Linked DNA regions of Lepisosteus oculatus. The protein of the gene in region 1 purifies or fractionates together with the protein of each later gene. This does not show direct contact. Links are inferred from orthologs where the notes say so. Each region holds a gene or a part of one and is shown in the gene's direction. Other genes may lie near its edges.

Region 1 (10,619 bases):
TTAAAAAAAAATAGGAAGGGGAATGGGTGGAGGGTGGAGGGGGACTGCAACTTGAGTAGGGCTCCCGTTTTGCAAAAGAAACGCAGCATTTTTTTTTTTTGTTCTTGTCTAGTAAACTTAAATGTCCCTTGAAGAAAGTGGTAAAGGTGTCATCAGCCATCGGATTCTCGCACCAGGAGCCTCTCACAGTCCAGGCACGGAGACAGTGCACGCCAGAGCTCGTCCGCCCGTTTCTCAGTCCTAATTGCCTTTCTGCAGATCGCCGCTGGGGGCCGGACACTGACTCTTGAGGTTTTTCTGCAGAACGTGGGCGTCCGCTGGCTCTATCCTCTTGTAGTAATTCTTTTTCGTTTCTATGATCTCAAAACCAAACTTCCGGTAAAAGTCGATGGCAGACTCGTTACTGATCTGAACATGCCTGCGTGCCAATAAAAAAACAGAAAACAGCAGTGAGAAGCCGCACTGCCCGTCAGACAGAGAGCAGACGTGCTTGAAAGAGGACAGAGCTCTTGGCATTACTGCTAAGGTGTGCAACTGAAGGGAACTTAATGCATGTTGGTCCTCTAAGAACGTTATTTGGCCACAGGAAATACTTGTGGAAATACTTGACAGGTTGCAATTAGAAAAGCAGTTCCAAATGTCTGTGAACTTATAAACAAAGACTATAATTGTAAGAAAAAACAAATACTCAACTCTCATCTTACATGCACAAGGAAATAAGCTATTTTTCCTATTTATTCTTTGCAAACCAGGATTACTTACAGATAGATATTGTCGAAAGTGCCATCCTTCTCACAGATGTTTAACACGTGGTTCAGCATCTTTGTTCCTGAATAAAACAAAGCATACAGGGAGCTCAGAGGGGCACAACAAGAGACACCTGGCCTGTGGATTAAAAGGACCAGAACACACCCGCAAAGCTTCGAAATTGAAACGCGAGGAATGCATCTTTTATTCACAACGTGTTGCGTGATGTTTTCGAAAAGTGTTAGCAGAGATCTGTAGCGAGTCTCTAGACTGAACGAGCTTGGTGCTCCGTGTGTGTCTTCCCTTAACTGGGGCTCATGACTGCAGTGGGCAACCACAGAACCCTGTTTTTTTTTTCCAAACTTTTTTGCACACTTTGATTGGGGCCCATATTACAAGTATGTGCTTAAATTATCCCCCTGGGAATGCATAAAAATGTATTTAACTCAACCAATCTGATTTTAAGCAGTTTCTCCCTTTCATGTCTCAACGCTGTCAGCCCCGCCTCTCCGTCAGCCACTCTCTCAGCTCTTTCCAAAATCAGAAGAGCAGCTGCTGATAAAAAGCACGGGCCACAATCCTTCCGATTTGTGGGACGCATACGAACAGCAAAAAAAATAACAAAAACATCCAGTCTGCGTCCTGAAGAAGAGAGCGCCTTTCGAAGCAGGCCGGCAGAGTCATACCTATCCCCAGCCTGCGATAGGGCGCCAGGCAGCCCAAGGTCATGATGTAGAGCCTCTTCTGGTTCTGAGAGTGATCCACCCGGCAGCACACTGCTCCCACTGCGATGTCATTGAAGTACGCTGAAACACAGCGGAGAGCGAGAGTGAGCTCTCGCCCATGAGCACCAGCGCCCCCTACGGACCGCACCCGCACCTGCACCTGCAGGCCCTGCGCAGACACGCCACCCCCACCCTCCTCGCGCACGCTCGCCTCCCCGGCCCACGTCTCGCTGCCCTTGCGCGGCCCTTAATCACCCCCCCCCCTCGCACTCCCCACAGAATCGAGGACACCCCCAGCTCCACTCACCTAGCTTGGCCAGCTCCCCCACCTCCAGCACGTCCTTGTAGAACTTGTCGTTGTAGCTGACTGGGAAGATCACCTGGTTCAGCCGCTTCAGCTGCTTAATGTTGTGTGGCGTCACGTCTCCCAGCTCGATCCGGCTACTGGAACAGAACCAGACTGGTCAACGGCTGTGGCGTGCCCACAGTGGACACCAGCTGAGCACCACTGCCGTGGTGAAAACCCCTTCCCAGGATCGGCAGGAAGACCCATTTCCAATGCATTTCCTGCGCTGCGCAGACATTAACTGACTAACTTTGTGATCAACGAACAAACTATTTAATGCTGTAAAGAATTTTCCCGTCACAATGCATCTCACTGACGCACAGGCAGGATCGGAAACTCCAGGTGTGGCCGTGCGTTCTGTGGTGCTCTTGTATGGAATAGCAGCATGGGCAGGGGGCAGAGCAAAGAGGGAAAATGAAGACTCTGCCTGCACAGCAGTTTGATTCTTTGCAGGCTAAACCAGTACAAAAGAACAAACCGCACCGATGAAGCAGAAATGCAAATATTTTCAAATGACACTAACAGCACGCGTCTGTCCGTGCAAACGTATCCGCAGACCTGACAAAAGGACTGAAACGTTGATACACCTGGGTGCTGTCTTGCACGGGTGAGCCACGAGCACATGAGCTCAAAGAGCACTGAAAGAGCTGCCCAGCTCGCCAACACCTCCCAGCTGCTCCTCGCAGCCCGCGAGCAGAGCCAGGGCAGGCGGCAGCTGTACACACTGCTATCCAGCAGAGCCCACAGCCAGGCCAGCTTTTACACCGCGGAGCTGGACGCACTCCCGCCAATGTCCATGCTCTCCAGGACTGGCACAGCTGCCTCCTCTCAGTCCAGACCGAGCCCAGAGTCTTCGAGCTTGGATGTGTTCTTCAACGAGGGGACCAAAGGTCATGGAAATGTGGGCAAAGAAAAACTATGAACCATGTCCAGCAAGTGAGCGCTGGGTTCACAACTGCACAAATTAGCACCACTTCAGAACTATCACCTCTCTTCAAATCCCAGTCCCGGCCATTATTACTACAGTCCCGTTCTCTTTCAAAGCGACGGCGTGCAGTTACGTTTACTGTTGCCTTTTTCGTTTTCCTGTTTGCACGGCAGAAGGTTCTGAGCCGGACCCCAGCTCACAGAGCAGTGGGAATGGGCTCCAGGCAAGCGAAGTCTCTCAGCCGAGTTGTCACAAATGAGAGGGGCCCAGCCCATTTGGTGGTTAGTAGGCAAACTGATCCAACGATCTCCTCGAGTCAGGGTGTTGCTCAGCCTGTTCCATAGGAACTGTTCAAGCCCCTTTGCTGCAGGATGCCCCTGGGCACCGCGCAGCGTCCACAATACCGCAGCTGAGCCGTCTCCTTCCCTGGCGGCCGAGATCTGAGGGCCGGTGCTGAACACCGCACTCAGTTCCTCACCACGCCACGGGCGTGCCGAGGGTCGACTTCCGTTTCTTTGTGCAGAAAAACAGAAACACGGGAGCAAGACACAAAAACAGCTGGGTAACTCCGAGAAAAAAAAAAAGACTTCAGCAAGCAGGGGGCAGCCATTGCTGTCGATGGCAGGGGGCGCAGACTTGAGGAGAAAAGTCTCAGGCAGCGAGCGAAGAGAACCAAGTTGGACATCCATTGCTCAGCTCAGGTCAGACTTGGCCCTTGTTCTCCTATTGAGCTCTGCATCAGGAACCCCCACAGGACGACCGCACGGCCGACGGGCTGGGAAGAGAGCTGCCCCCTCCTCGGCACAGGGCCCACCCGCCCTGGCTGGACCTGTGCCCCAGGCAGCCCCGAGCCCAGCGCGCGCCCTGGTGTATTTATAGGGGCCGGCCGGGGCTGGAACTCCATTTTTAAACCAGCTGCCCGGGTCACGAGATACCGCACCAGCTGGCGGCAGGAGGGCGGCACGCGGCGCTGGCAGGACCCCGCTCTGTCCAGGGCCCCCCGCAGCGCATGCCACGCTGCAGCGCCTCGCCCGGAGGGCAACCCGGGGCTTGTCCGAAACAAGTGCTTTGTACAGGGGCGTCGAAGTAGCCTTTTTCACTCAAATGGCCTCCTCTCTCTCTCTCTGCGAACTTCTTAATGTACCAACGTTTTTTTGGTTAATGAACAGGATGGGCCTCCTCTCATTTATAACCCCCCTCAGTGACCTTCAGTTACAGTCCAACACCTCAATCAAGCGAGCAAGCCCAGACGCACAGGCAGGATCGGGAGAGACACAGACACCTGCAGACATGCTGTATGGAGTGTCTGATAGGTCTGCCTGCAGATACATCTTCTCGCCTGCACTCCACTGCGAATGGGGGGGGGAAACAACAACATCCCACTTAAATTGGTTTTGCTTTCTCTTCGTGAAGAATCATGTTCACGAACCCCCACCCAGCATGCACTCGTCAACCAATAACACGGCCACTGAAGGCTCCTGTCTGCTGGTTTACCTCCGAACCGCCCTTTTAAAAGCAGCTTTTGGGTCAAAGCTTCACAGGGGCCAGGGAAGCGCTCCCCACCCGGCAGTGGGGGGGTAAACAACGAGACAGGTGTGGACAGGTGTCTCGTGGCGGGGGTGGGGGGGGGTTTCTTCCTCTACTGCTGCAGCGCGCGCCAAAAGGCGTCCCGGGCTGGGCGACCCCGCACGCGCCCGGACCCCCCCCCCCCCCGGATTTTACCTGTTGATTTTTCTACAACAAATAACAGTCGATCTACTGGTGACGCCCCGGGGCGGGGGAACGTGTCTTAACCTTTTAGCCAACGCAACCGTGATACACAACGAAGACGTCGGCCGAAGCGCTATTACACCCCCAAATACTAACCGACCTGCGTCCGATATCGCCCACTGCGTGACTTCAGAAGGGATCCAACGGACAATTGTGCTCAAACACACCTTCGTTAACCCATTTAGTACACTGTTTTAAGGATCTTTCACTATCAAGACACAGGCGGAAGAAAAAACACTGGTTATAAAGTTAAGGGGGGTGGGGGGAGACTTGAAAATTAATATTTACAACAGCAAACGCTTCTACGTTATTTTCATTTTAAAAAACACACACACACACAATACAGAAGGGATCCGATTAAAACAAACAGCGGTTTTGTTTTTCGGCCGGTCCTCGCGAGGGAAAACCAAAACGGGGATTGGGAAACAAAACCCCAGCGATCCTACTTTTGCCATCTTGGGGATGAGAAAACAGGAGCGACACTCGCCGCTCGCTAACCAGGCGCCCGGCGGTCACAACGCTTCTGCTGGCGTTGGCAGATTCCTGCTTCCCACAGCAGCACCAGGCGAGCATGCACACAGCAAAGCTCATCGCAACACCCCCACCCCTCTCCGGAAAAAAAAAAAAAAGAGAGAGAGAGAAAAGAGGAGAAAAAAAAAACTTTATCCGTGATGGGGAGAGAGGCGTCTCGGCGGACGGCGCCTACTCACCCTTTCATGGTGGACAGGAGTTGTTTCCCGGGGGTGTCGCGGTCAAAGCGGAGGGCAGCGGCTCGTCCTTGGGGGGGATTCGGGCTGAGTTCGGGTGAGGATTGAGCACCGCTGTCAGCCAGAACCACATGGATCAACTTCGCTCCCCCTCCGCGCGCACACACACACACACGGCTGAACTCTGACCCCGCTCGCTCCGCACCCCCCTACCCCGGATAAAAATATTGCCTTCCCCCGCGGAGACCCCAAAACCGCCTGCCCGTCCCCCAACGCCACCCTGACGCGGTTTGCGACCGGTTTTCAGTGCGTGAAAATATTTTGAAAATGGGATTCGATTAAGCGACGAATTTAACGGCTGTTTTTTTAAAAAACGTCCAAAGGCCGTGACCTTTGACTCGGGCCGACGTTGCCGTTTTCGATTAAAATATTTTAACGACCGCATTTAAAAAAAATAAATTGATTGCGAGGAAATGCGACAGTATGTTTAAATGTTAAAAATCATTTGAGTTGAACTGAAGGAAAATATCTAATCCAACAGCGAATCGGATAGATCACGTGACCAGAAATACACACACGTGCCCTCCCGTAATATATCTGAATATTTCTTTACGCAATTATGGAAATTAATGAACTAACTAATCTGTTATTTTACTGACAGGCTATCTATTAACAGCTACTGTTGGTATCTTCAATGGCAATTATTCAAAAACAGTTTTCGAGTATACTAACGTTATTATAAATTTGGGACGCCGGTTACGGGTTAATATTTTAAAAAATATTTTGGTAAGATAATGACTCCCTACATGAGACGCATATTTTTGAATAGTTAAAAGCTAAGTACATCATCCTTTATGAATCATAATAGTGTTTTAGTTATTCAAATTATTTTATCAAGAACTAAACTGGATAACACGCGTTCGATAAAGTTCCTCCAATATCCCATAATGCTGTTTTCTTTCAATTTGACGGAGGGTGCGAAATATATAGGGGAAGTGACGAAACTGGGCCTAAATCATCTCCATCTTGGCTCTAGAAACGGCTTAGCTTAGCGGTGCAGCCCAGCATCCAGTTTTGAGCCAGTATGGTGTCAGTTTCCTCTCCTGTCGAAGGGGTAGTTCAGCCTGCGGTGAATGAAGTCAGCTGACTCCCCGATCTCTCGCTTTGCTGACAAGTTCCTTGCTGGAGGAGGGAGAGAAAAAGCTTTAAATAATTTCGTTTCTCGAAGGTAACGTAACGGTATTTGACTCTTTAATCACTGTTTTGTATGTGTTTAGCCGGTTTTATTGTGTTGCTGCGTGTCTTAAATTACATTTTCAATGAAATGCAGATTGTAAGTCGGTAGCAGACCTATGCGCCGCTGAAGTGACAGGCTGGACAGCTGATCCATATGTGCAAAATAAACACTGCGGGTTTCTGATGTGAATAAATTAAAACAATTTTCATTTCACGCTTCGTGCGGCAGTACTGTCACAGGCCTTCGTTTTTGTTTTTTTCTTTTAGCTGTCGAAACCGTCCTCGGCCACCATTGCACTGTACGGCAGTTGTGAAAAAAATAATTGAAAACAAAATGCAACATCGGTCCTTCAGTCGTATTAAAACATCCTAACCGTACTGTAGTCCAGTAAGCGTCTGAATTATTAGCAGACACTCTTCCATATCGGCTAGCATGTTGTGCTCGTCAGATGGAGACTCGGTGTGATATACCGTATTATGAAATAATTTTAGATTACGCTTTTTCGATGAACGCTAATATCTGAGCGATCACAATTACAGAGCCGATCGTATTTTTGAAGTGTCAAGATGCGAGTTCACTGCGCAACAGAGGTTTGTTCGTGGGTGCAAACGTGTTTTCGGACGCATTGCTGGTAAATACCGCTGGGCTTGCCAGGGGTCGTGTAGGTTTCAGTTTTAGAGGAATAGGAATAATTGCAATGCGGAAAGATGTCTCAAGTTAAGAATGTGTTGCGTGTTTACGTCGATGGAGGATAGCTAACGTATCCTGACGGGTATTGCTGAGACGAAGTACCCTAGACTAGATTTTGTTGAACGGATTCAGACCTCAGAGGTATCGGCCTGTTTTACGGGACTGAACTGTAGCGGTGACCGTCTCATTCCCCGTCTATGCATTTAGTTGCCTTCGCTCTGTCGGAGGGTTGGCTCGTCTTAACAAATGTGTATTAGACACGATCGACACGTCATGTGATCGAGTCAGCAGACCGGGCGAAATTTTCCGAAGGGCGCTCAGCATCTTTATGGGGTGTCTGGAGTGGGGCTGGGTGTACAGTTGCTGCGTAACAGATATATGGGGGTCCATCACATGCCGGGCGGTATCAGAACTGCATTCCCCTAAAATGTATTCTATGATCTGACGTAGAAAACGGAGTGATCTATTATGAATGATGTATTGTATTGTAGTCCATTTGTATCATCTGATCGGTCTAGCAGTTTTGTCATTTTGTTTTACATAAAAGTGGTGTGGATATTGTAAGGGTGATGTGCCCCGAGTATGGTCTTCCATTCCGGGTGATGCAGGATAAGGCAGGGGTTCCCAGCTTTGCTTTTGGGGTTCCCCCACTCCTGCTGGCTTTCTTTCCAGATGGGCTCTTGTTGGCACAGTAGGACCCTTGCTGTAATAGTAGAACTCATTGAAACTCTTTGACTTGGCAAACAGGAGTGCCTGCTGTTCTTCGTCTCCAATGCACTGGCCTCTAGTTCCTGTTTCACTGCTCGTTCAGAAGAGGCCGACTGGGCTGACTTTGTCTGTGCCCTTGAGGACCCTCAATACTCCCTTGAGTCACCTGCCCTGTTCATTTCATTTGGCGATGGTTCACCATCGCTGACGGCAAGCTGGACAGAGGCTTGGAGGTGTCCATTGAGCCTCGTGCGCTGTGACGCAGCGGGACTGTGAGCTCCAGAGTGACAGAACCTCGGCTGGGTGGGTTTGTGGTAGGGGAGCACAGCGGTGAGTCAGTCTCACGACGAACCTAATTTCAGAACCTGCATTGCAACGAGCCAGTGCCTTTTTTTATATAGGAATGCTTCAAGAGCATGTGCTTACTACCCTCCTGTGAATGAAGTATGAGCAGTTTTCAGGGATGGGTCAAAGATCCCGATTTTAATTTTACACTTTTGGCACTACTGTGCTTTGATGTGGAGTGTTAGTGAACTTGGTGGGTTTGACGGAAGATCAGTGGAAACTGTCTGTAAGTGAGTCATAACCGTGAATGAGAAGGTGACTCTGATGCATTGTTCCATTTTGGAAGTTCCTTTAATGTTTCTTTCTTTTATAGCATGATCCTATGCAGTTGTTCCACTGTCATGTAATCGCTACCTTGTGATTCAGTGCATAGGTCTGGGTTGGATAAACAAAGGTCCCCCTTTAGGTCTAATGATGGCCCGAGGGGTCCAAAGCTGCTGGCTGGTGTCCTGCACATGTTCATCTGCACCAGATTGTATTTGTGCCGCAAAATCTGCGCAAACATGCTGATCTTGGGCAAAGCCTCCAAGTAAACGTCTTATGAGGTGCTTAACAAAACAGACAACAATACTGTACCAACGGCCAAGTTGAGTGAAGACTGTGTCCAGACCCCTGCCCAGATCAGATTATCAGTGGTTGAACGTGCAGCCCAACCACAGATACTGACCAGTCAGAGCCAGAGGAGGTCACGTGACCGTGCCTGATCACACAGCTGCACCGGGAGGGGGGAGGGTGCCACATTGAGAGCCGAGCAGTGAGACGTTTTTCCCAAAGCCCCTTACTGTCGATCAGTTCATTATTCGTTCAGCTGGAGCCCACATCAGGGGGTCGGTCTCCACACGGGTGAGCGTAAATCATGCAGGCTGTCCATCCAGCAGCCCAGCCAGTGCGTTGGCAATGCCAAATCTCAACTTCAAATCTCTGCGTGGCTTTCATTTCAGCTCTCTTCACGCAAAGAGCTGTGTAGCAGGAGCCCTGTAGCACAATGGATAGGTACAGTACAGCAGGAAACCAGTGTTAGGTACCGTGACACTTCATTCTCGCACAGGTCTTCTGTGCAGCAGGTACGTCGTTGGTAAAATAACAAATCTGTTTTGCATGTTCTTTCCATGTTTACGTTGTTTTTTTTTCTCCAGTGCCTGACTTCCTCCTTCCTTCCAAAGTCACCCTGACCTGTGTAACTGGTTCCTGTAAGTTGTGCCCCCTGTGCACACGTGTGTGTCCCCTTCGCGTGGTCCTGCCCTGTGCCCTTGGCACTGGGATATACGCAGGGTTGCCACAACCCTGGCCAGGAATAAACTGCTTTTTGCAAAAACATAGACAGATAGACAGTAAAGTGACCTCACTTGAGGAAGGAGAGGAAGTGCTGGTATTTCTGAACACATGTTGTCCAGAGTTGTAATGCATGTAGTGGCAGGTCAGGTATATAACAAAGAGGTCAGCTTCCTGATCCTCCGCTAGCTCATCGAGTGCGGCAGGGTGGATGGAGAAATGGCTGTGACGGGTTCTTGTAATGGATTGCAGTCCAGGAAGTGCAGGCTTGCATGTGGCAACATGGGGAAATCTGTCCTTAATCAGGACTTTCTGTTCTCTTTTGTCATCAGTTGTCTGCCGAGCTGTGGTAACTGTTGTTGTTCTTTTTGCAGTTTTAACAGATATGACCAGGCATGCCTGTGAAGGTGTGAAGGATCAATTGGGCTGTTCTGCTTAATGAAGGCTTCTCTTCTTGTGAGTTGTAGGCAGGGAAAGAAAAGAATGTCCCGGTCCGAGTGTGGCAGTACTGTGGAAGGGGGTGTGTAGAAAGAGGGGTGATTCTCTTGTGCTTTAGGTATCGTGCCTGCAGGGGTCACAGCCCCTCCTAGATTTCATTCCAGCCCTTCTTTGAAAAATGGTCGTTTTATAGCGTTTCTCATCCCTAGGCGTTTGAAAGCTCTCTACAAAATGGTGGGGTCCACCTCATCCACCATTAAAGTACAGTTCCCATGTGGTTGGCGTCTGCATCTTACCAACACAGAAGATCAGGTGGAGGAGCGAGAAACTGCTCCTCCAGTTGAACTAGGAGTAAAATCTAAGGACAGGTTGTACAGGTCCAGACTGGAGTTGAGCCAGAGTACCAGGGTTAATGACCCTTTATGAATTTTAATGCTTAATGAATTTTTAATGGCCAAGCAGTCTGGACCTTTGCTTTAATATTACATCTGAAGGAATGGGTGCATCTCCTACAACATGGTGTCTCCCTGTCAGCGTTCTGGGGAAGAGGTTTGAAAAGTGCCACCTACTGGTCCACCGGCACCACATACAGGTTTTTCCTTGGTGGCCTCCCATCCCAGTACGGACCAGGCCCAGCCTTGTTGAGCTCTGGGGAGATCAGTGCCTCAGGTGGTGATGCTGTCTGGACTAAAACTTTTGCTGAACT
Region 2 (11,002 bases), on another chromosome or scaffold:
GAAAACAAAGACTTCTATAATGACAATTTAGAAACAGTACCTCAATGATTTCATCCAGTGCAGATTTCTTCTTCTTCTCCTTCGATTCTGAGGTATGACTAGACTCCTTTCTCTTTACAGAGGTTGCTGCAACCTGCAGGGCACTTGGTCCTAGAGAAGTGCTGGGAAAATGATATGCTTTAGTTCTTCTTTTTAGGAATGCATTTATATTACAATTAAGAAAACAAAAGAAAATAATGAGAGTCAGGTAATAAAAAGAGTCCCATCAAAACAAACGTTTAGATTGATTATCAAGTTTAATATAACTTTTTTAAAATATCATCTTGTAACATACAATCTTCCATATTTATGTTAGTAGAAATGGAAGTAGAAACAGTCTTTTTATCATAAAACGTGCAAAAAGATTTATCAAGTCTTTATTCTCCTTAAATGTAAAAGTCAACTGAGATCATTTTAAACTCCCATTTAAAATAATACTCTAATCTACAGGTGTAAACACTGCTGTGCAGAAAAAGCAATTATAAAAGAAAAAAGAACAATCGCTAAAAATTAAAACAACCTGAAATTACATTACATGGTACTATTAATATTCATCCTTACCTTGATTTTGAAGAAGATGCTGCAGAGTTACTCAATCCCTTGGCCAAATTAAACACAACTGCAATATTAATAAATAATATTAACAACATGTAAAGGTTTTCCAGACCATTATGCCTGAGTTCACAACATCTACAACAAAATTAATAACTGAGTTAATCTTTTCTGTATCTATGAAGTTTCTTACAGTATTTGAAACTTCACCCAGGCATGTTGTTGAAGCAGATACCTAGGCATCCTTCAAGAAATGGCAGGATGAGATCCGCAGATCAACTATCTAAGTTGAGAGGCAAATACGTTAATGGGGTGAATGGCCTAATCTTGTTGTTGCTTTTACATTTTTTAAGATACTTGAAATTTCTTCTGATACTTTTCAGAAAATCAGAAGTAAACTGTGCTCTGGAGCAAAAAGCTTTGTGTGCCAGGGCAGTCTATGAAGATACTGCAGTACCAGAAAACCTGCCACTATAGGAAAGAAAAGGGCCTCTAACAATTGTAAATCAGTTCACTGGGTGACAGTTAATTATTAAATTACTGATGGAGAGATTGTGTCCACAGTCTTACATTAGCTGACTTAATAGCTATTATAAAAATGGACTTGCATGGCATGATTAGATGTTATTTTAGGTCAAGACACATTCATATGTTTACAAACAGAGCTTTTCTAAAGTTTTATGGATTATGGATTCAAGACCTAAAGATCTGCTATAAATTATCCCACACCTTATTTCTGTCAGCTATTTTAAATTTTTTGGTGAATCTTATCATATTTTCTTTCTCCTTAGATTCAATACTGGCACTAAAATACCTCAAACTGGATAAATGAATACTACAAACTTACTTGTAGTTACGAGCAAAATAACTTGTTTTTAATGACATTCACTTTTATATACATTAATGTTGAAAGTACTCACCCTTCTCTTCTTCATTTTCTCTTTTCAATTCTGTAAAGACAGGAGTTTCCTAGAAAAATAACATGGTAACTAAGACCAAGATCTTACTGATTTTGCTGGAGACGATTTAAATAATTAACTGCTGTAAGAGTGAGGATCTGTAGAGAAAGAACTTAAAGTGATTACTACTCTTTATTTTGGGTATTTATTCCACACAGGCCAAGCACACTTTAAGAACTAAGTATTCATTGCCCTTTAAGTTGAGCATGATCATTAGCTATAATTACCTGAAACACTGTACGTGTCATTAAAGAATGTTAAATAGATCATACTGTTTAAAAGAACATTTGTCCCATTTAACCGCTGACAAAAATAAACTCACAAGAATGTAGGTTAAAACTGCAGGAGTGAAATGTATAGCAAATGGGTTCTGAGATTCGTGATCGGATTTAAGGAACTGGTGCTTAAGGAACCGATGAGACAAAACCAACAGTCACTGTGATGTAAAGTTAATCCAGGCCATCTGTTGAAATTGGCAGAAATGTGGTGTTTTCAGCTGGGAAATGGACTTGGTTTATATGAAGTTTGAAGAGATGTGAATCAAACGTAAGCTTCTCTCATCTGTCGCGAATGCTCTTACTAATATTAGCACTGTGATTACCTCCTCCTTGCCTTCTTTGCCTCTGCGAACCTGTTCTTCAATAAATTTCGCACTTCTTTCTTCATCATCCAGATCCTGCTTTTTCTTCTTCTCTAATTCTTCCTGCCTTCGGATTGTTTCAGGATCCCGATCAATGTACTGGATATACCAGCCTTTAGGTGTCTCATCCACTTTACAGTATCCTAAACATAGAAAAACAGATTTCTATTCTCTTATACTTTAGCCCTACAAAGTTTAGGAACCTCTTATCAAAACAGTTCAAAAAGGCAAGAAATTGCGGGCCTGCAAGGAAATATTTTTTTCCATTTCACTGGGCATGCCTATAAAAGATTTCCATCCTATTCATGGTGTATGATTACCAAAGCTGTGGCTTTAAAGTAAGATCTGGTACCGATGTTTGGAGAGTGAGTGTTAAAGTGTGAAAATATGCATGGATAAACAAGGTTCTCTTAAAAAATATGATAAGATTTTTAACACAAGAAAATAATTAAAGCAGAAGAATGAAAAGCATTACCAACAACTGTCTAACTAGATATCACATGGAACAAGACATTTCTTTTTACAAACCTTCTATCATATTTAATAAATCCTATGATTCAGTATGTGAAACGTTAAGTTTAGATATATTTAAAATCTTTCAAAAATGATACCCAGAGAAAACAATGCCACAACTGGCTTTGTGACAATCAATCATGGGCTTAAATGTCCCTTTGATTCAAGGCAGAAATCCTCCCCTTCACCCACAGAACACTACTGCAAATACTGATATCCCTGGTAGATCTTTATCCATTTTAAAAAGACTTACCTTCTTTACCAAGCCATTTAGTGAAGTCTGTGAGGGTTTCCCACTGAGTAGAGTTCATATGGACATGTTCTCTGTTGCTTATATACTCATTATAGACAATATTGTTGTGGACTCGCTTTGTCCCTGCAAATACAACAGAAATCATTACTAAAATGATATATCAATGTTTTCTATTTGTATACTTTAATCCATTAAAGAATATGTTAAAAGCAGATGAGGTTCTCTGCAACTTTTACAATGGCAAATGTAAACACAGGCAAACTGTAAAATACAAAATTGATAATTGTTTATCTCCTCCATACTTTTCTTGTATGAACAGTGTTTAATATGTTAAACTTTAATATAATAAAGACTTAACTAAAGCATAGCTAGGTATTAATCCACTAATCTTACCAAAACGTCTTCTAATCAGCTCCAAAAAATCATTCTTGAACTCCCTAAAAGAGCAAACAACCAAATCAGTTCTATGCATTAATAGCAAGCAATCATAAATGCTCAAGTAAACCTTAATATTAATCAGAAATATAATTTATGTATTTTTGGTTAGCATTAATACCACAATTATATTACATGATATTTCAGCTGTTCAAGTCTTTATAACAAATCAGAAGTTTATTAGGAATAATAACACCAGGTAATTAAGTGTACTGAAAGGATTATGGAGCGTTTAGTCAAAATTTGGCTTAACCCCCTTTGTCTGAGGGCTAACCTCCTGGCCATAGGACGAGGAGGCTGAGACCTCTATGCAGAGTGAGGAGTGACCAAGGGGCAGCTGCAAAGGTGGAGAAGGGGTGGAGGTGGGTTGCAAAAGATGTATGTGAGGGAGAGAAGGGGATCACATACAGTATTTAAAGGGTTTTAGGAGAGGAAATAACATCAGGACTGATTGTGAATTACCGACAGCCCGGTCTGATTGAACCTGGCTGCCGTCATCCCTCCTGAACTATCGTTATAGACTCCATGACATTCCCCAAACAAGTAGTATTTAACATACAGAGGGTGCTAGTCCAGGACACACTGGACTACTGTATGTTCATGTCAGGATCTCATAACATAAATCAGCATCTGATACGTGTGATGTACAGGCCTCATCAAGTTCCTGGAATGAATGGATCTGACTTGAATCAGAGTCACCTTATTCATCAAACCTGGAATTTTGGTCTTCTGATCATTCCAACAAGAGCCTGGTGCAGAACAGGCAGACTACACAGTTATGGTCATAAGCAGGCTTTAAGGTATTTCCTCTAAGTTAAAGTGTCACCCGCTTTAAGTTATATAATATTTTTTTTAATTTTCTTCAACGAATGTTATTTCTTAGGAGGTAAGAACAGAAGTGCCTTGGGAACTCATCTTTGCTGATGATGTGGCACTGATGGCAGACTCAGAAGTAGAACTACAGGAGAAAGTGTTCAAATGGCAGAGGAGTCTGGAAAAGGGTGGACTGAAAATGAATGCAGAAAAATCTGAAATAATGGTAATGGAGAGAAGAGGAGATACTATGACCAATGTTGAGGAGACAAATGGAGGAAAACTGAAACAAGTTGATGACTTTAAATACCTTGGATCAAAACTGGTAAAGGGAGGAGAAACACTGGAGGCAGTAAAACAAAGAGTGAAAGCTGGATGGAACAAGTGGAGAGAAATAACTGGAATAATCTGTGACAGGAAAATTCCCAGAAAGTTAAAGTGCAAAATGTACAAGACTGTGATTAGACCTGTACTACTATATGGAGCTGAATGCTTGGCAGTTGGAAAGAGGGAAGAGAACTTGATGAGAAGAACTGAAATGAGGATGTTGAGATGGATTCTGCAGATTTCAATGAAGGATAAGATCAGAAATGAAGAAATCCGTAGACGATGTAGGGTGGTGGATGTGGTTGAGAAGATGCGAGAGGCGAGGTTACGGTGGTATGGACATATCATGAGGAGGGACGTTGAGGAAGTAACAAAGAGGGTAATGGAATTTGAGGTGGAAGGTAACAGAGGAAGAGGCAGGCCTAGAAAGAGATGGATAGATTGTGTGAGAAAAGATATGGAGGTATGTGAAGTGAGTGAGGAAGATGTGCTCGACAGAGACAAATGGAGAAGAGCAACCAAAGCAGCTGACCCCAGGACAGTCTGGGACTAAGGCTGTGAAAAAGAAGAAGAAGAAGAATGTTATTTCTTATCGGCACCGTCACCGTCTAGGTACTTCATTCTTTCTGATTTCCAAAATTTCCCATTGGCTAATCACCTAATATATTAACAACACAGGGCACAGTCAGAAAATGGAAATGGTAAAGGAACAGTCTTCAGTTGTCCAGTTCGACACTCACTCTGAGAAGTAGTCCATGAACTGGTCAGGATTCTCCGAGGCGAGAAGGAGCTGCCTCTGGTGCGACTCCGACATGCAGTGACATTTGAAGCCATTCTAGCAAGAACACAACAGGACTCATTCAGACCTTTACTTCGCGTTTTCTCCGTCTCGAATCACAGCAATTATCATTTGCAGTCAATAATTATGAGCTTAAAATACTCGACAGTTGCATCTGCCGGTCAGCACGCAGTAGCTAGTTGTATTTCGTCACTACATTGTATGATAATATTTCATAAAACATAATAATTGTGAGACGTTTTGTGGCGACATTTTCTTGTAGTGTGGTATGAACACGATTTAGACTTAATACCTTATCGTACGTTTAGCTTTTAAGTGTTATTTGTTAGTTGTTAAAATGTAAAACGTTGTGCAAACTAAAGTTAACCAGACTCACCTCATCTCTGCATTGTTTCTGACACATCTGACAATACCATCTTAATTTCTGAAGGCCTTTGGACTTTATCCTGTTGCTTATAGCTTTGGGACTCAGAAATTCCGCTTTTCCCATTTTGGAAAGCCAATGTTCACAAACAAAACAAAATAACGATGATCCCTGTTGGAACCAGAAGTTCACAACGCGCTCTCCTTACTGTTGCGTTTCACGTCATCAACAACTTGCGCTCCTTGTTTTCGGTATTGGGTCATTACGTCATGCTTACCCACACCGTCTGACCATCGCGAGACTGAGTTGGGCCATGTGACGTGGATTTGTTTGACTTCTTCTGCGGAAAGTGAAGTTTACGCGTGCGCAGTGAGTGGAGATTGACCTTCGTTGGTGTCACCATGTTCGCGAGAGCCAGCGTTCTGGTTTTTCAGCCACAATGGTAACGTGAATCTAATTGCAGGGTTAAATCCAAAACGATATCTGTTAATGTGCGGTTGGTTATTTTATGCTTTAGCACGAGTCAGATTTTGTGCTGTTCCGTAGAGACAGATCTTGCTTGGCACTATTTTACCGGTAGGCCTGGGCAGTTTTTTTTGTAGGGCGGCCAAGTTCATGCTATTAAGCGAGATTCATTGTAAGAAACATTTAAGTCTTTATTCATATCTTACCCACTGTTAGTATTTTTTGCTCTTTAAATTTGCATTTGCACAACACCTCATGATAATTTGAAACGCCGCCGTTGCATAAATGCTTACTGCGGTAACGATATAGCTCTCAATGTCACTTCTCCAAGACGAACAGGGCATTCATTGCATTATTGAGAATATGTTTCAAGCAAACATCAGACATATTAAAAACATATGTTTTACTATGTATTGTTCCTTTGTCATTGTGACAGTTAATATCTATATTAACGATATAGATCATTAGTGTCAGTTATTAAAACCGCCTGAACTGAAATTCCTATTTGAGCCTGTGCTATACTGTTTTACGGGGTGATTAAAAAGTTGTTAGCATTGATGTGGAAAACTTGTTTGTGGTGCAATTATTTAAGAAATTATTCAATTTGATGTGGCTACAAACATGAGTGGGCCATTTGGCATATATAGGCATTTAGAGTTTTAGTAGCTATTTGATCTGTGGGTCATATCTCAGCTTTTTTTTCAAACAAACGGCCGGATATCACCTTCAACATAGTGGCTGTGTAGCTTGTTCCACCCTCCTATAGCTTACTGTGTAAAAAGCACATCCTGTAAATTCCACAGACTACCTTTTGAATCTGTTTTGCATGCCAAAGGTGCACTGAATTGTAATGTTATAAATGAATCATTACAAATATTACTGACTAATATTAGCTTCTCTTGCAGTGGCCAAGTCAGGAACATGGCTACACTGAAGGACAGTAAGTATTGTTTAATAAAGTGTATTTTATCCTGTTATTTGGACATTTTGCTCATAGTTTTAGTGGATTTTAGTCTTTCATGATTAGCTGATTTCAGGTCTGCATCATTAGGTTAGTAAAGATCTGACGAGTGTGAAATGTAAAGCAAGGCATATAAATGTGAATTATGAAACTTTGCCAAGGGAAAAGGTTGGAAATGCATTGAAATTGTGGAAAACTTCTGTGACTAAAACCTAAGTGAACAGACTGTCTTAATTTCTCACATGCATTAATCTTTCTGTTCAGTGGACAGAAAATACCAAGATGACTATTCCTTGTAGCCAGAAATTAAGTGAATAATATTTTTCAAACATTGGTGCAATGGGATATGAAATGTAACTGTACTCTTGTCACTTTTTTAAATACTAGCCTGTTTCCATGCAGTGATCAGTTGAAATGATTAAAACCTTTTTAAAAATCTCTTGCAATTGTTCTTAGTGTATATATTTTTTTCTAGTCACCATTCGCCTGAAGTCCATCAAGAATATCCAGAAGATCACCAAATCCATGAAAATGGTTGCTGCAGCAAAATATTCAAGGGCTGAGAGATCTTTGAAACCTGCACGTGTTTATGGAACTGGGGCCCTGGGTATGTTATTAGTTTCCAGGAGTTTGTCACAGGGTGTCACAAACTGCCCAATATATTAATTTAGATATTTGCCACAATGGAAGCTAGTCTTTCAGAAAAAAATGCTGTTTGTGTTATTTTAAAAGCAGATTTTTAAAAATTATAAAATGATATATTAATGTCTTTTAAAATAGTGCATTATTATTCAAGGAAGATTTTACATTGTAGAAAACAGGATTTAAAGACGAAGACGCTGAGGGCTTTTACTTACACTTCTGTAAAGCACTTGCCACATAATCTTCTCTGCTTATGTGGGGGAAAAAAAGTTCTATAGAATAATCTATACTTCTGTTGAGTTATTTTATAACTTCAGATGGGCTGGCATGGTGGTACTGTGTTTAGCATTGCTGCCTTGTTGAGATGGGGCCCTAGATTCAGTTCCAGACCTGGGATGCTATCTGTGTGGAGTTTGTATGTTCATGTGTTCACGTGGGTTTACTCCAGGTGCTCTGGTTGCCTCTCACATCAAAAGACATAATGGAAGGTTAATTGGCTTCTGAGAAATCTGGCCCTGGTGTGAGCGTGTGTGTCTGAGTCAGTGGTAACCTTTGTTACCAGTGATGGACTGGCATCCCATCCAGAGTGCACCCAGCCTTGTGCCTGTTGCATGTCGGGATGTGCTCTGGCTCCCCTGTGATCCTGAATTAAATAAAGTGATTAGGAAATAGATAGGTTGGGACAGTTAAGATGTTTTAAGTGGGATAAACAGGCTTTTGGGTGACTGTAATAACTACCTGCCAAGCTTGAGTAGTGACTCTGATATTTTTCCAGCTCTGTATGAAAAGGCAGAGATCAAGGCTCCAGAAGACAAGAATAAGCACGTCATTATTGGCGTTTCTTCCGACCGTGGTCTGTGTGGTGCTATTCACTCCAGCATTGCGAAGGCCATGAAGAATGAAATCGCCAGTCTGACCAGCGCCGGGAAGGAGGTCATGGTGGTTAGTGTTGGGGACAAGCTGAGAGGTATCCTTCAAAGGTAATCCCTACTTTATGATAGTCCTGTTAACTGATCTTGTAATTGACTTTAGTCATTCATAACAAATGTCTGTTGTTGCTGCACGCTGTTTTTGTTTTTAATTGCTTTTCTTGAGTCCTGGCCATTTTATTTTTCACTTTTATTGAAGTGAAGACAGACAAAATATTGAAAGCCGATACCAACTTTGTATTAAGTACTGCCCTTAAAAGAAAAGTTCATAATGTACTTTCTTGTAAATCAATAACAAAAACTTTTTTTGTGTGTTTTTTTTTTACAATGGCACTCATTTATACTTTATATATAGTTTCGTGGCCTACATATTACCAATATGCTGAGCTGGGCAGAGAATATTAGTGCAATTGTGAAGAAAGCCCAGCAGTGTCTGTACTTTCTGAGGTGCCTAAAGAGGAGTGGCACCCACAAAAAAGCACTGGTTAGTTTGTACCGTTGTGCCATTGAGAGCATTGTGACTGGAGGTATTAGTGTGGTTCGGCGGTGCTACCCAGAAGTACAAACACATTCTCCAGAGAGCGATTAGAACAGCCGAAACATATCATTGGAACAGAACTTGCTTTGTTGGAGAATCTCAGTACAGCCCGCTGCAGGAGCAAGGCTCACGACATCCTCAAAGACCCACTCCACCCTAGCCAAAGTCTGTTTACCTGGCGAGACGCTAAACATAACCTTCGGCGTCGTGAGCAAGAGAGCATTAAGACCCGAAGGAACAGGTTTACGAACAGTTTCTTCCCAAGGACAGTGCCAACCGGCATAACGTATAGGAGGCCCACATCAACCTCAGCTCCGTAGACGCAATGTCTTTTATCACGTGTAACTTAGGAGCCATTCTTGTGTGGATTTTTTTTGCATAATAGTGTGTACAGGTTGTGTAGAGTCTTTTTTCAGTTTGTGTATATAGTGTCCTGCACATAGTCTGTGTGTTTACCCTTTTGTCTTTATGTTCTCTGACTGAGTGAAACGGTGTAAGATTTCCAACGCGCTGTTCGTGCAAATGGCAATAAAGGTACTTGAACTTTACCTGGCAGGACCCATGGAAAGCACTTCTTACTCAATTGCAAGGAAGTAGGACGCAAACCTCCCACTTTTGGGGATGCTGCCACCATTGCCACCGAGCTGCTCGATTCCGGATTTGAATTTGACCAAGGCTCCATCATTTTCAACCGATTCAGGTAAACATCCAGAACCTCATTTTAAACTCGCACGTTGGAGCTTTCAGCATCGGGTTGCATTTAAAACGGCTTCTTTTGTTTTTTCTTAGGTCTGTTATTTCGTACAGGACCGAGGAAAAGCCTTTGTTCTCCCTTGACACCGTTGCCAATTCAGGTATGTTATCCAATGAGAAGGATTCTTTTTACAAATATACTGCTTATTAAGTGTTTGTTGCTAATGAAGCAGTGTGATGATGAGCAAAGGTGCTATTTGCTTGCAAGTAGAAGCAGTTCAGGAATTCTCCAGCAGCTCATTTTGTTGAAATCCCAGGTGCTTTAACTAATAGGTGATAAATAATCTGATTATGCTAACAGGCATACAATGATAAGGTTGCTGGCTTCTGTGTTCCACTATAAAAGAGAAAATGGTTTTGAAAAAGAATCAGTGCCATTACGTTAACTTGAACACAGAATTTTATTTTCTTCACAGAGACATACATTGCATGAATGCCTATTATAAACATAAAATTAGGATTTTTATTTTCAGAAATACCTTCTCTGCAGTTTCTGAACACCATTGGTTTGGATTTCCCATGCAGGTTATTGAGAGAGAAAAAAAAACACTTTGCATTTACCTAAAAAATGTTTTGATTAAATGAAATGGGATATACTTGCTATTATGTGTATCTTGTGAGTTATCTGGAACATTTCCACCACATGATCAGAATTACATTAAAATTTATATTAATGAAACAACAGATGGATGCATTAAGCCTGTGTATAATGTGTTAATTTTTGGTCCTTTCAGAAAACATTGGTGTCTATGATGACATTGATGCAGATGTTCTGCGAAACTACCAGGAGTTTGCTCTGACCAATATCATTTACTTCAGCTTGAAGGAGTCAACCACCAGCGAGCAGAGTGCTAGGATGACTGCTATGGACAGTGCTAGCAAGAATGCTTGTATGATTTGTATATTTTTATTTTAAAATGCATTTTAGACTTTCAGAATTTATGAAAGAGCTTTCTGAGTTTGCCTTTTACAATAGTCCAGTCTTCTGCAAACTAACACTATTTTTGTAATGTCAAATTT
Region 3 (10,506 bases), on another chromosome or scaffold:
ATTTCTGTTTTAGAGTAAGATGTCAGTAACATTTAAAATTACTGTAAATTGTGTACATACTGTATACTAAATGTGCAAAACCTTTAAGCCTCTATACGAAGCTATTATACAGAATATAGTTCTGTTGTTGTTCCTGTGTTGCGTGGATGTTTTATGTTTAGTTCAAGCGGTGAAGTACTTTCTTTTGGTGAGAAACTGCTCCTCATCTATTTGTGTGGTTGGCCCACCAGCAAATAATGGCTGCTGCATGCCACTCAGGTGAGTCCTGTCTTATATGTAAAATATATCCTTTTAGGAATTAAAAAAAACTACACACATGAAGAACTGTCTCTGTTTTTTACAGATGTAACTAAGTGTCAGTGTATTAATATGTATTGTAACTGTTGTAGCATCAAACTAAGAACATAAGGCAAAGCTACAAAAATAATCCATCGTTGTAGATGACATAACCCACAAATTAGGTGCAGCAGAACAGTTCAACAGTGATGAAACTAACTATACCAGACCAAATCCTGCAATTACTTTGGAAAGGCGAGTATGGTAAATAACCATTATAAAAACAGCTCAGATCCTGGACTCCTGCAGGGTTTGTACCCTGCGTGACCAGGAAGGAACAGCAGCGGGAGTTCTTTTAAATGACGACTTTAAAACAGAATCTCAGATTCGAAAAGGCGACTACTCTTTTTCCTTTGTGAACAAGCATCCAAATAATATCGTTTGATGCTGTTCATCAGTCTGATTTAGTGTTTTTAATTACCTACATACATTTTGCTGTTAAACCAAGAAAGCCACTTTAATAACTTCAGAAATATAGAACCTCAAAATTCACATTTAGCAGATTGGGTCTATTAACTCCAAAGTCTATTAAAGTGAAATCATTTAAACGGAGGATTGACTGTAATCTGGTCATTTGCAGCTGTTATACATATAAAAATGATTTATAAATCACCTCTGTAAACCCATGAACGCTGTACATAGTGATAAAAAATATACAATAAAAAGCTAAAAATAAAATACAGTCACCGAAAGTCTGAGATTCAGTCCTAGGTTCAGTGAGCAAAGGACCAGTCTCAACTGAACAGAGCCAATGGGAGGCAGTGTAAACATGCAGGAGTTCAGAGAATGATGGAACAGATTACTTAGAGGCTTAAAAGTCAGTAACAAGATGTTTTATTGAATATATGACTTTATAGGCAACCAAAGTAGAGATCTGAATGTAGGAGAGATATGTTGCCAGGGTCTGGTGTGAGTCAGAAGTGTAGCTGTGGAGTTCTGGATACATTGTAACATACTAAGAAAAGTGTTAGGGAGCACACAGGGCAAAGAGTTACAGAAATCAAACCCTGATGTCATAAATGCATTAATCAAGCACTTAGCATCCAACATTCATAAAAATTGCCTAATGCTCGCTATATTTTTAGGTGAAAAAAGAGATCTTCATACATTTTGTGAAGTGTGGCTCAAAAAATAGAAGGTGTGACTCCAAGATTCCTGACTATGACTGGTGTCGGAATGAGGAAGCCATCAACATTTATTGTGAAGCTTTCCAGTTTTTTGCTACGCACTAGTAAAATGTAGATTTTGTAACTATTTAGCATTAAGAATTTGATGTCAACTAGAGCTTGATGTCACACAGACAAGAGTAACATGACAAAGGCTGGAGATCAGAGGGGCAGATGTTTTAATGTAAATCTGAGTATCATCTGCGTAACAACGAAACAGAAGACCATGTTTGCATATAATCTGATCAAGAGAACTCATATAAATTATAAAAAGCAATGGGCCCAAGACCGAACCCTGTGGCACACCATGATTGACTGGGGCCATAGAAGATTTATGAGGACCAAGAAAACAAAATGCTGTCTGCCAGTCAGATATGAGTAGGACCAGTTAAAAACAGTACCGTTGGATAGACATCATATCAATAAAGAATAAATGCACACCTTGATATTAATGGCAGCAAAAACAGTTAAGAACCCAAGTTAGATATTTTAAAACAGACATGGGAATATGAGGTGCACTAAAATGTCAACAATTTTAATAAAAATTAAATAGTTATAATGCAGAAAATGTAAATTCACCAGGCCTTCAAAAAACTGCTGTTAGAAAAGACTATAGTTTTATACCTGAATTTATCAACATTAATCAACACACCTGACTGAGAAAATGATCATATGTGACAAACTGAAGCATTCTAATTATTAGAATGTATGGCATAGTAATCAGCTGAATAAATTCTCTCAGCTATTTAGGGTTTTTTTTTCTTTCCCTCCCTTATTCCCACTGCATTCTTCAGAACCTCAGCAACAATGAAGACTGTGTGCTAAAATGTTAACAGTGAGGTTGCAATCAAAATCAGCCATGAACTGAAAAGGTAAGACATAAGATACAACATGGACTCTAGCCATTTTTTCTATTACAGTAAAGTTAATAACAGTTTAATGACAAAACAAAGGAAAGTCTTCAAAAGGAAATAATATTGGTGCAATCCTGTCCTAACGCTTTGCTGTAGCAGGTAATAGCTGCTAGCATAGGATGCTTCCCAAGCTGGAGAAGTTAACACAAACCATGGAAAGCAGGGTACCGAAGCTGGCTAGCAAAGCTCAGAAACACTGCATTGCCTAAGAGAACTACACTTCCCAGAACCCCACTCAGTGACTTCCTGGGGTGTGTCTACATTGCAAGTCACTAAGATGCCTGCAAGTTGTGACATTCTGTAGGTCCCACCAGGCACTGGTAGTTTCACTGGCGGTGGTCTGTGTAACTGGCGCACGCTGACAATCAACTCAAGTGGGATCCCTTATTTACAGGTTTATTTTTTTAAAAATGAGAAAATAAAATGGAAGGGTTTCCAGACGTTTTGTCAGGATGGCACAGGATACAAGTACTATAGTACAGCTGATAACAGGGAACTAACTACCAGTCCACACAAGGATGCTACTCCCATCTCCTGTCCAACAACTGTGACACCTAGTTACATAGGGTAATCCAACTCTGGACATTGTCCAGTGGGTTTTATAGGAATCCTTAAAACTCCAGCTTCTTTAGGAATAAGGTAAGTCTGCAACTTGGCTAATTAGGTAAATTCAATGAGGCGATTCAGGCCTAAAATAGAAAGCAAATGACCAAAAACCTTCTGGTTCTCTAGGACTGGATCTGTACACCAGCTACAGAGCAATTTCTAAAGATGTACAAAGTGGAACCTGTAGCATACTCAAAACTGCATGGGATCCGCGTAGGTTTTTACATTTATTAGAAAAATATTTAAGTACCAATTGGCCCATTAACGTTCATTTGAATTCACATGAATGTTCTAAAACCTTCTTCACATGTATCTTTGAAGAACATTAGTTTTCCATTAGAATAAATTTATCTACAAATGTTCCAGAGGATGCTGATGCAAATTGCAAGTAAAATAAGTGGAGGATGACATTTGATGTTTAGTGGTTATCCTTTTAAAGATCGTATCGGATCACTTATTATGTTTAGAAATATTTGCTGTAGCTTAGTTGCTATGGCAAGTACACTATACTGTATATCAAATTAATGCTCAGCCTAAAACTAGAAATTGGACTAGTTCTGGCATATTTGCAAAACAAATGTGACCCAAGTTAAAAATGTTATTAAATGCATATTTTAAATAACAAAATGTCTTTATGTAGCGTTACAATTGAAAAAATTAATCAATTCATTTTTTAAAATAATAAACAAAATGTGATATTACAAAGATTAAATGTGAAATATTTGCCACTCCAATTAAATGTAATTTTGAAATAGCAAGCAGGCCTTTGCCCTGTAATCCACACTGCAACAGAAATAATAAACTACCATTTTACAGTGCTATCAAAAACTCTGCAGCTTACCTCCACCAATTAAAAACAGACCAAAAGACAGACAACAGTTAATAGCATTTACAAGTGTCTAACAATTACACCAGAAAGAACATGAACTAAAAGCTGCACAGGAACAAGAGAGGTAGGACTTAAGACCTTGGGCTCATCTAGCTTGTTCGGATGATTGCAACCATTGTAAATCATGTGCAGGTTAGTGTACATCCCATTTTATAGACATTTCTGGAGACAGGAATTAATTTGACATATTCCCCTAAATGTGAAAGAAAACTGGATTTATAAATCAACAGAAATACAGGATAACAGGTCTTGATACGGGACAACACAATACCTAACACATATTGAATTTGTTAGCAATGTTTCATTACACGATACAAACAAACTGTTTCAGAGTGCTGTTTTCTCAGGAAAGCTGTCTAGAGAGAAAATTAAACTTACCTGTTTTCTTTATCCAGCTGATTGAAATCATGTTTCTTTACAAGTTGTTTGAGCTTGGTCAGATCCCCTGTAGAAGCAGCCTTGTGTAGCTTTCCTAGATCTTTTTCCTTTAGCTCATATCCAGCAGACAGCACACTCCCCGTGTCAGACGAATTGGGAGAAAACCCCTTTTTCTTCTTCGCAAAGCTAAATATCTTCTTCATCGTGAACTGTTTCGAGTCGGACAAGGGATGCACGACTTCATCGCCCTGCAGTGTCCAGGCGTTGTTCACTCAGGTGCAAAAGAAGATTCACCTTGGGCGTCTTTTCCATTCCAAAAATAAACCAGTAAATCGGATAAGGATAATGATGTCAAACTCATGAGTCTAGCAGAATGAGAAATAACACGGCGATTTATTTATTCTATTTTATTTTAATAAAATACATACAGTAAATATGCCCTGAGCAATTAGGATGTCTGATTATGATAGCATGTTTGCGATCACTGTGTCCTGTATCCCTAAGACCACATACTGTACATAAATACAATTTCAGGGCATAACATGCAAGGATAATAATTTTCCTTACCTTATCAAATCGGGGTTTCGGTGAAAAATGGTCGACAGTGTAAAAAAGACAGCAATTGCCTCATTTGGAGTTTAGTCGTTATCAGTAGTTAATTTACACCATACTCCCATAGCTGCACAATTCGTGTACCACCAACAGCAGCAGCAAGGGCAGGAGCTCAATTTACAGAGTCTGTAACCAAGGCAACCACGCCGTGCATCTAAAAACAGAACAGGATGGGGGGTTTAACAGCCTGGCATTACAAAAACAACGAAACGGGTTTTCTCGGTTCGTATAACCGACCGCCACAATATCATACGAACATATCATTGATCAAACTAGACTGGGAATCGGCTACGACAGGTCTTGTCTCCACTGGCAGTGTTGGTGCTCCGAGTCTGAATAATTCATCGTCATCTACAACCGCGACATTTGAATTTGTATCCAAGGTGTCAGGTGAGATTCAGCGTCTAAAGAAGTCACGACGTTATACGAGTGTAACCTGACTTGGTGAAAAAACAGCAAATTATACTCGTCTGTACGAGGTAAGATCACCATTCTTCCACTACTGTACGTAAATTTCTTCTTTCGGATTCACAGACAACGAATTGCAAAAACGTGGCAGAAGTCTCAATTTTGAGCGGAATATGCCAAGGTATGACACCAAATACAAACACTGAAAATCAGTACTTTCCAATCGGGTCATTCTATCATTGCAAAGATCTTGAAAGTTTCCCATTTTCAAAATGTCAACCATAGTCTTTGCAAAAATGAATACAAATATAGTTGTTGCGTAACTATTTAACCACACAGCAAACTAAAAAACAACATGGAGAATTAAAAATAGGATCTTTTTTATTAGAAAAATCTAGATTTATATACCTTGCCGTTAACTCTGATCATTCGTGTGAATATAAAAAAAATCATTCTCATAGCGTCAAAAATACATGCTCTTCATATGTCTTTTGAAAAAAAAAGCAATATATAACAAACCTAATCAATACAAATCTTTCCCAAATCCATTACTTCACTTTTCTCATAGTGACCAACTGGCATTGCACGTTGCGTGGGGACATAGTAACATAACTGTGTGACCGGCGGTGATCGCATCCAATCCAGTGCGTGGGATCGGTGAGCACTCGCCCGTTATCCAATAGTTCACAGGCTATAGTCCTGTGGCATAGAGAAGACCCGCCCACTACGTGCAAGTGTGGTTGAAACAGCATCCCTACTAAGGGTTCAGTCTTCTCTGAGCAACTGGTAGTTTGCAATGCTTGGGTTTGGGAGACGGAGCAGATCATATTACACTTTCATTAATAATAAAAATAAAAACAACAAGTAGAAGAAATCTAAAAAATAACTGCATTCTGTCACCCCCCACCAAAGTGTGACCCTTTTCACTTAAACGCCCAATCGGTCTTTTAGCTCGTAGCATACATATTTCAAAATCCTTTGTTTTTAGAGAATGTCGGTGAGCACTGCCAGATCTCCAAGTCCAGCTACGTTACCCTTTTAAGATGGGTACCGTAGATGTATCGTCTTAGTTGCTGGGGCACACTGTTGACCTTCGATCAAATTCAGTTTAGTTTTTTTATTACATTTTCAATATAATGACGCAGTAATATAATGCAAAATCTTGAAAATGTATAAAACAACTGTGTGCAGTAATGGTGAAACTGTACTATACTCTCCCATCTGAGCTGTTTGAACTCAGACCCTTTTATTCCCACCACTGCAGTGTGTGTGTATGGGGGGAGGGGTTATGAGTGACACAGCAAACCCAGTATTTCAATATTTTAACGAATATTGCATTTGGCAATTAATCCAAAGTTTTTTTCCGTAATGTCTTAGTTCACACATACTGTAAATTCGCTTACGTCAGCGCTCTAACATTGGGCAATGCTGACAAAACTCACCCACAAGATGATTTTAGTCATTTAAAATGGTTCTAACACTTTGTAAAATAAGCCTAGGTCTATATTTAATACACGAATTAGAGGTCCTTCTTAATACTTTTTCCGTTAGCAAAGCTCTCTCCAACGCCAGAGAAAGGACAATGGAAACATCTCCATGACTGGATTTTATCTAGTGTTCCAGGTATCGATGGTCGTTAGCGTCGCTGAGTCTGATGACGTAATTATCCCGTGACTTGTCAGGAAAAAGGAAGTACGGCGCGGTCAGCTGATCAGGCGTCGTTAACTTGAGATTTTTCAGGTGTTTCGTTTATCCTGAAGAGAGTATAACCGAAGAAAGTATTGTCAGACTCCTCTGTGAAATAGTCAGGCATACGTTTTTTGTCCAGCATGGCAGGACGAGGCAAGCTGATCGCGGTGATCGGAGATGAAGACACCTGCACCGGATTCCTGCTCGGAGGCGTTGGAGAGCTGAATAAGAACCGTAAACCCAATTTTCTGGTGGTCGAAAAGGACACAAGCATCACCGAGATCGAAGAGACCTTCAAGTGAGTTTGAGCTGGCCTGATTTAACAATGCCGACGAGACATATATATTTAGAGAATATATAATTCAAAATATTGTGTTGCAATAAGTGTGGTTAATAATTTAAAACACTGGCCATGACTGTAAGATCAGCATGGGGGAAATGATTATTTTCTTGGTTTTGATGATAGCCTTCTTTCTTCCATATCGCTAAAGACATGCTCGAAAATCCAGTTGCACAAGGTCAAATTTAAAATAGAAATGACATCTCTGTTAGTTAGTAGAAGACTTAAAAGTAAGTCTGCTTGAAAAGAGTACATCTGCAGAGCAATAACGGTATCGTTAATGTTATGTTCCAAGTTAAATACCTGAGACCTGCAAGTGTCAAGCATTACGGTCTAAATACATTTTAAGTTGAGCTTAAACTTTTGCAGAGCGTTATGTTTGCAGTATAAAAATGCTAGTGAACCGTTTTTATTCTAATACATCTGGAATAATGACACATCCTCAGTTCCTCCTTTTTTCCTTATTTAAAAAACGCAGCGGGCACGCAAGCCTTCACGTGCTTCTGTGTCAGATCGCCACTGCTGTGTGTGAGGCAGTAGGCTGGAGGTTGATGGCATGTTGTTTCTGTGATAATTTGTATGCAATTTGCATGTGTTCCTCATGATTAATCATTGCAGTCATATATTCTGCATACAGAGTGAGGCACAGAATGTGCTCGTGTTTTTCAAGATTGTATCCCCCTGAGTAACCCCTCTTTTTTTCATCTTTTTCTAGGAGTTTCTTGGCTCGAGATGACATTGGGATCATTCTGATCAACCAGTTCATTGCAGAAATGATCCGGCACGCTATTGATGCTCACATGCAGTCCATCCCAGCTGTGCTTGAGATCCCATCTAAGGAACATCCCTATGATGCTTCCAAGGACTCCATTTTGCGCAGGGCCAAAGGCATGTTCAGCGCAGAGGACTTCCGGTAAACCTCCCCGAAGAGGCAGAGGATGTCCTGAAGCAGATTATAGCTTGGAAGAAGAAAGTTCACAAAACCTTCTCTGCCATTCTTATTTTATTTGTGTGTCATTTTCAGAATTCCATTCCATGCAGGAGAATAGTGGGAAAAGGGGAAGAGGGATGAGACATTTCCATACAAATCTGTTCTATCTTAATTTGAAGGATGAAAATATTTGGTCCTGTATAAAACAGTCGTTGGTCGTGCAAGTTTTATTTATTTTGGCTATTTCTTTATGTCATATGATGTGTGTAATTGTAGGAGATAGCTGGTACATTTCGTCTGGTAAAAGTCAAGTTTTGTTTTAGACAATTGTATCTTTTTAAAATTGTGATTTTGAATTTAAGTGTCAACATCGGTGGGGGGGGGAAGAAAACTGCTGCTTTTAGTGGTATGTGAGGTTACGGTTGTGTAGGTTTGTGACTGATACTGTACATGATTCATTCGGGTAAGAAGATCTGCTACACATTCATCCTCTCCCATTGTATCCTGAGTCATTCCTCCCAACCCCCTGTCCAGTGTTCGTAGTTAGGTCTTCCTCCGTGTTCCCAGCTTGTCAGAGACATCAGCTAGGTGACTACAAACAAGTTTGCTTGTTTTAACCACAAACAGCATTCAGCAGTGTTACTGGTGTGTAACAGATGGTAAAGGACTCTGAACCTGTTCATTCCTGACAGAAGTGGATTGTGTGCTATAATATACAAAGAGGCGCTGCTTTGAATACTGCCACTGGGTGTGTGTGGCGGTGGAGGGGAACATGTTTATGGTGAAGTTTTGAATTTGGACTTTTCTGCCATTGTTGAATCTGCTTCTATTGGCCATTACAAAAGGGTCTGCATATAACCAATATTATAGAAGAACTATAGTAATAATTTATTAATTTAAATGGATGTTAAGACTGCATTTTGTCCTTACTGGATATGTAATGTTTGTGAACTTGTTACCCACAATGTATAGAAATGTAACATCTCATTATAAATGTTTAAAAAGCTGGTTGTGTGAATTTTATTCTGTGTAGAATTTTAAATTGTTGAAGTATATTATAAGTATGAAAGTGTATTTATACTGACAATATTATGCATTTGAGTTATATTACAAATATAATTACAGTAGATTATTTTGTTTTCTTAGCACTTCAGTGTTGTTAATGAACAACATGATGTTTACAATTAATCCTTCTAAAGTTAAAACAATTTCAAGATCAATGCAGGCATAGTTTTCACATTGCTACATCAATATTTAGAATGACATTAAAAGTAACTATTTTACAAATTTAACAAAACTTTCAAAATATCTAGAGATTCCTATTAAACTGATACATACAGTACACTTAAAAAAAAAAAGAATGTCAGACCCCCATCAATAGAAGTGAATTAATGACAACTGCATCATTTTGAATATGGACATATTAGACATTGATTTTTAAGATTATTTTAGTTCAAATACACTTTTTATACACTTTTGAGTATATGCTGTTGGGAATTAATACAAGGCAGAGTTTAATTGTATTTACATTCTTTCATAATTATTTCTTTACATATGTTTTCTTGAAACCTAGTTAAAGATTGATTTGGAAAGTTAATAATTTGTCTGTTTTCACTGGATTAGGCATACCTCACATTCACACATTAGTATTAACATTAGGGTTTTAAGGATGTTCATTTCTTTCCACCTCATTGGCTTTTGTGGGTTTGTGTGATTCCAAATATACCAATAAAAAATACTTATTTACTAAATAGGATGGATTCAACTGAATTACTTAAATTCAGCTAATAGAGATCCAAGGTACTAGTTCAGAATAATGATTTCCACTGCAGAAGCAAAAAATGAGTCAAGATGAGGAGGCTGGGAGTTTTAGTTTATGATCTTGATCAAGAAGTAAAGCGGTAGTCTCAGTCATTTATGAATGTTAAAGGGAATTTAGGGAAGATGCTATTGTAAAAAGGCTAATGGTGAAATGTCAGTTCTTCAGTTATATATATTGTATTGTTCATTTTGTATCAAAATATATGATCCCATAGCAGTAACATTTTCCATACTTATCAATCTTTTCACTACAATCAACACAGCTTTCTTGTTCACAGTTATCTTAACTGCCCACAGCACGACAGGTACCCTTTGTTGCCACACATACTGCTCAATTACCTGCACATATATATCCTTTATCATGAATATGCAATTTAAAAAAAAAATCAGAGGACATTAATGCAGAAGTATCTAGC

The links.
Region 2: the proteins of atp6v1ab (region 1) and atp5f1c fractionate together in Homo sapiens (co-fractionation; 3 studies listed by BioGRID). This does not show direct contact. The link is inferred for Lepisosteus oculatus from reciprocal best matches to the Homo sapiens genes ATP6V1A and ATP5F1C.
Region 3: the proteins of atp6v1ab (region 1) and atp6v1f fractionate together in Homo sapiens (co-fractionation; 3 studies listed by BioGRID and IntAct, with this or other methods). This does not show direct contact. The link is inferred for Lepisosteus oculatus from reciprocal best matches to the Homo sapiens genes ATP6V1A and ATP6V1F.

What each region holds. Positions count from the first base shown.
Region 1 is NC_090700.1:4,082,066-4,092,684, forward strand, and holds the start of atp6v1ab (V-type proton ATPase catalytic subunit A), read left to right. Parts: upstream 1-6,318; 5' UTR 6,319-6,451; intron 6,452-10,619. Other genes in the region: naa50 (N-alpha-acetyltransferase 50), read right to left, coding at 241-418, 763-829, 1,434-1,553, 1,780-1,916, 5,227-5,234. UniProt on the Homo sapiens protein: Catalytic subunit of the V1 complex of vacuolar(H+)-ATPase (V-ATPase), a multisubunit enzyme composed of a peripheral complex (V1) that hydrolyzes ATP and a membrane integral complex (V0) that translocates protons.
Region 2 is NC_090702.1:43,107,190-43,118,191, reverse strand, and holds the start of atp5f1c (ATP synthase subunit gamma, mitochondrial), read left to right. Parts: upstream 1-6,027; 5' UTR 6,028-6,095; coding exon 6,096-6,136; intron 6,137-7,064; coding exon 7,065-7,099; intron 7,100-7,595; coding exon 7,596-7,727; intron 7,728-8,537; coding exon 8,538-8,742; intron 8,743-9,785; coding exon 9,786-9,929; intron 9,930-10,018; coding exon 10,019-10,083; intron 10,084-10,716; coding exon 10,717-10,872; intron 10,873-11,002. Other genes in the region: kin (DNA/RNA-binding protein KIN17), read right to left, coding at 41-161, 601-658, 1,512-1,560, 2,152-2,333, 2,957-3,079, 3,350-3,393, 5,272-5,366, 5,707-5,820.
Region 3 is NC_090702.1:45,634,651-45,645,156, forward strand, and holds atp6v1f (V-type proton ATPase subunit F), read left to right. Parts: upstream 1-5,288; 5' UTR 5,289-5,380; intron 5,381-5,717; exon of another isoform or gene 5,718-5,966; intron 5,967-7,137; 5' UTR 7,138-7,138; coding exon 7,139-7,296; intron 7,297-8,053; coding exon 8,054-8,255; 3' UTR 8,256-9,277; downstream 9,278-10,506. Other genes in the region: ankrd26 (ankyrin repeat domain-containing protein 26), read right to left, coding at 4,290-4,492. UniProt on the Homo sapiens protein: Subunit of the V1 complex of vacuolar(H+)-ATPase (V-ATPase), a multisubunit enzyme composed of a peripheral complex (V1) that hydrolyzes ATP and a membrane integral complex (V0) that translocates protons.